Schizosaccharomyces pombe: one gene and its partner. The gene in region 2 interacts genetically with the main gene of each other region. Each region holds a gene or a part of one and is shown on either strand. Other genes may lie near its edges.

What was found. Genes that interact genetically often act in the same process or in processes that back each other up.
Region 1: mutations in sck1 (region 2) and bzz1 together harm fitness less than expected from each alone (positive genetic interaction), as found in Schizosaccharomyces pombe (one large-scale study listed by BioGRID).

Annotation. Positions count from the first base shown.
Region 1 is NC_003423.3:2,464,237-2,467,998, reverse strand, and holds the start of bzz1 (diacylglycerol-binding protein Bzz1), read right to left. Parts: upstream 1,972-3,762; 5' UTR 1,827-1,971; coding exon 1,788-1,826; exon of another isoform or gene 1,744-1,787; coding exon 1,717-1,743; exon of another isoform or gene 1,663-1,716; coding exon 1,599-1,662; exon of another isoform or gene 1,548-1,598; coding exon 1,427-1,547; exon of another isoform or gene 1,349-1,426; coding exon 312-1,348; exon of another isoform or gene 266-311; coding exon 1-265. Other genes in the region: ATP-dependent RNA helicase Dbp5, read left to right, coding at 2,141-3,652. UniProt on the Schizosaccharomyces pombe protein: Plays a role in endocytosis and trafficking to the vacuole. Functions with type I myosins to restore polarity of the actin cytoskeleton after NaCl stress.
Region 2 is NC_003424.3:2,403,074-2,406,835, forward strand, and holds the start of sck1 (serine/threonine protein kinase S6K family Sck1), read right to left. Parts: upstream 1,631-3,762; 5' UTR 1,534-1,630; coding exon 1,294-1,533; exon of another isoform or gene 1,178-1,293; coding exon 487-1,177; intron 438-486; coding exon 1-437. Other genes in the region: SPOM_SPAC1B9.03C (ribosome biogenesis protein), read left to right, coding at 3,591-3,614, 3,673-3,732. UniProt on the Schizosaccharomyces pombe protein: Protein kinase that is part of growth control pathway which is at least partially redundant with the cAMP pathway. Required for trehalase activation.

The sequences.
Region 1 (3,762 bases), on a different chromosome or scaffold from region 2:
ACCTTTGACGCTGGTTCAGCAGGCGTTGTTTCTTCTGTTTTCACGTTGCTTAAGGAAGTTTGATAAATACTACTTGAATCCATATCATCTGTGTATGTGTTACGATAGGATTCATAGGCATTTGAAGACGACGCAGAAGCATCAAAATCATCAGTGGCAGTAACACTGGTATCTACAGCATCATCGTCGGCCACTTCGGGCTCACCATTTTTGCAGTTGGCGGGAACAAGAAGTTCACACCTTGCATGGCATTTGAAGCCACAATCTACACGTGTTTTGTTAGTTAACGAAAGAAAGCAAATATTTCGTACTTTTGCAAACACATCCACGCTTCGATAACCCCCAAATAATTTCACGACAGTAACTGCAACTTGTCGGAAGTTTAAAACTAACATGTTTGAAATCATGAAAACGACCTCCTTCTTCTAAATTATTCGCAACTGACGTGATCTTGTTGATACGAACCTCTAAATCTTCTATTCTGGCCTTTACCATGAGCTCTTTCCCTTCTAGATTTATCGAAGCCTTTTTAGATTCAAATGACTGGTTAGCACTATTTGGATCATCGACGCGTAAACCTTCCAATTGTGAATCTAACGATACAAGCTCGCCTTTCTGTTTTCCAAGGTCATTTTTGGAGTGGACCAGTAAATTTCGGAGGTAGTTTTTACATGAACCATCCACCACCAGTGCATCCGTGTCATGCCAGATAGGACTAGGTTCAAAATGCAAGTCAGCAGGAAGTGCCCAATTCTTTGAATTGTGCCTTCCGAACATGGCAGAATCAAGGACTGGTTCATTTTTTGCAATTTCTGATTGAATTTCAACGGTTCTTTGGGATAAGGTATCATGGAGAGACTTTTCAATTGAAAAGCTGTTACACCATATTTCATTTAAATTCGAAACCCTGTATTCGTTCAATACTTGCATATGATTAAGGAGCGTTGGTAGAGTTTCATTATAAAACTTTTGCTTGTGGGCGTTGTATACAAGCATACGAAGTAGGTATTTATTTTTCTTATCGAGCATATCACTTTCAGATAATTTTAAATTTCTTTGAGTTTTTTGCTCTCGATATTTATCGTTTTTTTGCCTTGCGCTTTCTAAATCATCGCAGGCCTCATGGTAACTGACCTTGGCTCTCTTCACACTGTTTAACAATGTCTCCTTTTCGGATGAGAATTTTTTATATAAATCATCATAAACTTTTCTTAAAGCCTCTATATGAGACTCTAGTTTCTTCAGTTTTTCAGCAATGTCCAATGAATAGTCATCGGATAGCTTTTGATGAGTTTTTGATGAGCGCGTTAACTCATCCAAAATTTTAGACCATGTTGTTAAAGAAGCACTATAAAATTAGCCTGTGAACAGGAATTCAATATCCATCTAACTTCAATTGCTTGACAGGTTCCAATATTTTACATACCATTCTAAAGAGCCAGCAGACATTGCCGGAGTATCTCCGACTGAAAGGGCTGATGATTTTCTGGATTTCTTCTCCCCATATTTATTCGAAAGACTGGCTAATTTCTGAGCATATTCTTTTTCTAGCAACAAAGTTAGTCATTGAAATTTAACCATTGTCGTTTCTTATTTACCAATAGAACTTCTTTCTTTGTAGTACAATTGAATATCTTCAAGCCATTTCGCGCCATTATTAATCTTTGTTACAATGTGTTAATTGTTGAACTGTCTTCATTTTCATTCTTGGCATACCCAACTGTCGACAACTTTAAAATCGTCCTTTTATATATTAGTAAATATGCCAAATAACTAAAACACCTTACGTGAAGTTCATCACTAAATTTGTATGTTTCCAGGCTCATTATCCAGTATTATCTACACGTTTGATATCGCTGCAATAAAAATTTGTACCGGATATAAAACAATTAAAAAGAAAGTTTGACGGAAGAAATTGTGACAATTTTTGGCTTTACGTTACGAATGTTGATGAAAAGGAAGTACGGTGGTGAATCGAAACCTATATTGTTCAACTTTCACTTAAGGAGTAACTTAGCAATCACCAACTACATTGCCCACCAGAAATTGTCATCCAGTTTGCTAAGTCATCCTTGCTGAGTTTGGATATCTGAACTATAAATTTGATTTTTTTTATTTTTTTTACTAAAAAACATCCAAAATGTCAACTACACTGGGACAGGAAAGCAAAACTGACTGGGCTAGTTTGGACTCTGATGAAGAGGTTCAAAGAATTAGTGATAAAGTCAATCAGTTAAATACTTCAGAAAATAAAAATGAAGATCAAAAAGCAACAAATTTAAGTGACAGATTAGGTCCAAAAATCACTGAGAATGTTGATGCAAAATCTGAGCAAGACAAAGCGACCAACACGATTGCAGAGGACGCCAATACGAAGCAATCTGAAAATGATGAATCTAATTTAATACCAAATAAAAACGAGGTTCGTGTAAAATTAGCAGATCTACAGGCTGATCCAAACTCACCTCTTTTTTCTGTTAAAAGTTTTGAAGAGTTGGAGCTCAAGCCCGAATTATTAAAGGGAATTTATTCAATGAAATTCCAAAAACCCTCAAAAATTCAAGAGAAGGCGCTTCCACTTTTACTCTCAAATCCTCCTCGCAATATGATCGGACAATCACAATCCGGAACTGGTAAAACCGCTGCATTTGCATTAACGATGCTTTCTCGTGTTGATGCTTCTGTTCCCAAACCTCAAGCTATCTGCCTCGCTCCTTCTCGTGAATTGGCCCGTCAGATTATGGATGTCGTGACGGAGATGGGCAAATATACTGAAGTAAAAACAGCTTTTGGTATTAAAGACTCCGTCCCTAAAGGTGCAAAAATCGATGCTCAAATTGTAATCGGAACGCCTGGCACTGTGATGGATTTGATGAAGAGAAGACAGCTTGACGCTCGCGATATTAAAGTATTCGTGTTAGATGAGGCAGACAACATGTTAGATCAGCAAGGATTAGGAGATCAATCTATGCGTATCAAGCACCTTCTTCCTAGAAACACTCAGATTGTTCTTTTCAGTGCTACCTTTTCGGAACGCGTTGAAAAGTACGCTGAACGTTTTGCTCCCAATGCTAATGAAATTCGTCTGAAGACTGAGGAGCTTTCTGTTGAGGGAATCAAGCAGTTGTATATGGATTGCCAAAGTGAAGAACATAAATATAATGTTTTAGTGGAATTATATGGGTTATTGACTATTGGTCAATCAATTATATTTTGTAAGAAAAAGGATACCGCTGAAGAAATTGCTAGGCGTATGACTGCAGATGGACACACTGTTGCTTGTCTTACCGGTAATCTGGAAGGTGCACAACGTGACGCTATTATGGATTCATTCCGAGTAGGTACTTCAAAGGTTTTGGTTACTACGAATGTAATTGCTCGGGGTATCGACGTATCGCAAGTCAACTTGGTTGTAAACTATGATATGCCTTTAGATCAAGCAGGAAGACCCGATCCACAAACATATCTTCACCGTATAGGTCGTACCGGTAGGTTCGGCCGTGTTGGAGTAAGTATCAATTTTGTTCACGATAAAAAGAGTTGGGAAGAAATGAACGCCATTCAAGAATACTTCCAACGTCCCATCACGCGAGTGCCTACAGATGACTACGAAGAGCTTGAAAAAGTTGTCAAGAATGCACTTAAAATGTAAAGCATGTTGATTTTTAGAGATTATTTAATACATAGGTTTCTTGGTACCAATTACTAAAGGAATATTATTTACTTATGCTGGTATTTCACTGGTTTTTTTGCATATCAACT
Region 2 (3,762 bases):
AGCTGAAAGGTTTGCCTTAGACAAACCAAAATCGCAAAGAGCAATATGACCATCTGCATCTAATAGTATGTTTTCAGGCTTTAAATCTCGGTAAATAATATCATGTTTATGCAAATGTTCAAGAGCCAAAACAAGTTCGGCTATATAAAATTTAGCTCTTTGCTCAGGAAAGCGACCTTCATGTTGAAGATGCCAGAAAAGTTCGCCTCCACTCATATAATCAGTTATCAAATAAAGATCTGAAGCGGTCTGAAAGGAAAACTTTAAACCAACAATAAACGGAGATTCGTCTAATGAAGTCCTGACAAGTATATTCCTTTCGCCCAAGGTATGTGTAACCTCTTTTTTACGAACAATTAATTTTTTGGATATCTTTTTCATAGCATAAATCCGATTGGTATCGTTTTTACGGACCAAATAAACTTGCCCAAAAGTGCCTAAATAAAGTTAGTATACCGTAAATTTTTTAGCTTAAAGCAGCTTTACCTTTTCCGATTAAACGAAGGGCCGTAAAATCTTCTGGCCCATAACGAACATGTTCAATGTGCTCGTAAATTGTTTCCACTTTTATTTCACCCTCCAGAGACTTAGTTAAGTCAAGAGGCTCAAGCTTATACCATGCTTCCTGCACATATTCATGTAGGAAAATTGGTGTAATTTTAACGGAGCCCAAAAATTTATCGTCTTCATATTTGTCATATACAGATACAACCATTTGACTTTTCATTTTTGTCACATCAAATACAGTTTCAAAATCCCAATGAGGACAACGCACATCAGCCAACATTAGCTCAGAATGTAGTCCAGAAGAAGAACCGGAAGCAGATCCAGCAAGAGGACGGTTTTTAGAAGGAATGGAAATGGGTATCCCACCGTCAATGTCTTTAAAAGGAGGAGGTACCATAACCTGCGTTTTTTCAAAGGTGATTACTGCATAAGGTTGTGCATTAACACTTTTGACGTTCAAATCTCTACCTTGATGTAATCGAACATAAAGCCGTCCAAAAGCATGCTGACCATTTTTATCTTTTGGCACAACGGTATCATGCCTAATGTAACACGAAGATGGAGGTGTACGACTCTGTAGTAGTTTGGGTTTTTCTGAATATGTACCCATTGGTGTAATTCCATTGCTTTCGGAACTATTAGAACCAGATTCTTTATCTTCCTTTAAGGACTATGATAGGTTAGCCAAGTGAACAACAATTTATGGAGACAGTGATTTTTGAAAAACACAATAAAGAAAGCTATGGGGAAGATTGTCTTTCAAGCAAAAAATCAATTATAACATACCTGTTCTTTGTGAAGCTGAGCTGTAATCTCATTGTAACGCATCTTCATCCGATCCGACATGAAAACGGGATCATAGCCATTAGACGAAGCACCCTCTTTCCCTTCGTAATCGTTTACTTTCGTAGAATGGTCATTGGAAAGAACCGGTTGCGTTGAATGCGATTGTATTGTGGATGGCGATGCTTGATTTGTATTCTCAGAATTTGATGATCGATGCAATTTACCGAAAATTTCGGTCATTTTCAGCAAAAGCAATGATCAATCAAGAATCTTTTAATACTCTTTTAATGGAATCGGATTCCTCGTCTGGTGTTACTAATAATAGGGTGTGGTGTTTAAAGTTGGTTCGACCAGCAGGTGTTTCGCATATGTAACCTTCGCAATTCCCTTAATCGAAAAGTGTGGTAACATCCGGGAGTACGATATCTTAGCGAACGGATAGAAAATCCAGTATTTTTCGAACACTAATTCGTATTTTACTATGATTATATAGATGTATAATTTTAAATGGTTATAATATCAGAGGGGCGCCGCACTTCCATTTATCTATTTCTTAAGGGATTCAGGTAAGGGGGATGTATAACCCTAAACATTTGAAAAATTCCTTTGCAGTGTATTTTATTATTATGCACTTATTCTAAAAGCAGAAAAAGAAATTTATCGAGCAATTAATACGCTGTTGACTCAGAAATGTCTTGTGATTTTCAAAGGTTTGTCCAACGAAGGAGTATCGAAACAGAGTTCTCCGAATGGCTTAGTAGAAACTTCATGTATATTTATTTTAGCCTACATATACAAAAGAAATTAAAGCACATTACAACGTAATTTCGGAGAGCTCAAGCTATGAGATTTTCGACTGTTTAGTTTCGAGGAATACCTAGATAGTACCGAAAAATGCTACACTCTTTTTTTATAAACATTTATCAAATAATTTTTAATGCGTTGGCTGATGCCTTAACCAAAGGTCATACTAAATTTACCAGAAAAGTTTCTTTTTCTTTAATAAATCAATTGTAGTGTTTGAATGAATGAGCTTTAGTAGGATGTCCACTGGTCAATTAAAATTGTAACTTACTGACATACATTAGCAAATTTGGGCACAATTTCTAATTGTTATTTGCTTCTCATGGTTTCTGATATGCGTTTGATGCAAAATACTCGGGATTTTTGTATTTCGGCTGATTTAATTTTAATTTTAATTTTTTTTTATTTAAGTCTCTCTATACTCATTACTGTGGTCAATTATATTCCTTGAGTTTATTAAATCTTTTATTTACAGAGTACAATTAATTAAAATGGAGCCAAAAAAATAACCCTTGTTAAAAATTTTTTTAAACTGTTAATTCCCTCCCCAAAAAAAAGATTTAAAAGGAAAATGATTAAAAAAAACGAGAAATAAAATTTCATGTAAAAAGATAACTTTGTATAGTAATTTATATAATAAGAGCTAGTTTGTCATAGTTCACTGCTATTGTTTATTATTATTTTTTTTCATAGCACAGTATTTCAAATTAAATATCGTAAAAGACCATCAGAAATTACAAACAAAATAAGAAAATCATCGGTTAAATTAATGACATTCAAAGTACCACTTTTCGTTCCTCTGACAAACGTTGCTACGCAACCTTGATTAGCCGTACTAGCAAACCCATCTTAGTACTTTGTGGGGGCTTTCATTTTAATAACCACTGCTAAGCTGCTAGTGTTAGGCATAAAACCGATAATAAGGACCATGTGGGGGTCTTCCGCATAGGTTAAACAAACAGCTGCTGAGGCGAGGTTCAGGTTATCGTGGTGCTTTTCTACGTTAATTTATCAATACAAAATAGTTTAATTTCCAAAACAAAAGTCAAGAGATATCAGCTACAATTACATTAATGATATGCATCATCCAAAGTCAGTGTACAAACAATAGATTTACGCCCGACAAATAAACCGGTATATTTTAGAAGTTCATCATTTTGTATACAATCAGTTACTTCCAAAAAATTATTGATTAAATAAGTGTTTATAAAAGATTTTTCATAATTTCGTAGTACGGTCATTATTCTCAATTTCACGTGTTTTTTTCTTTTTTTACTTCTAGGCCCATAACATTATTATTAACTATACTAGTATAAAAAATTTCTCGCTCAAATTATGTTCACAGCATGTAAATGAGATATGTTAAAATAGAAAATTCAGCTTTCAAAAAAATAATGTCTATTGCCATCTTTATTGTCATGTTGGCGGAAATGAACTTTGCATATTGGTGTTCTTGAGAGTGTACAATTTTTTTTAACTACCAACCACAAAGAATGGGAGGCATTGGTAAAAAACGGGTATGTTGAGAATGGATAGTTTAAAAGAAATACTTTATTTAAACTAATTTAATTATAGGTAAAAAAGAGGACGCATTTGAAAGCTGATCCTATACAAGAAGCAGCAATTCCTAAATCGGTATGTGCAATTTTGTAAAATTGTAAAATT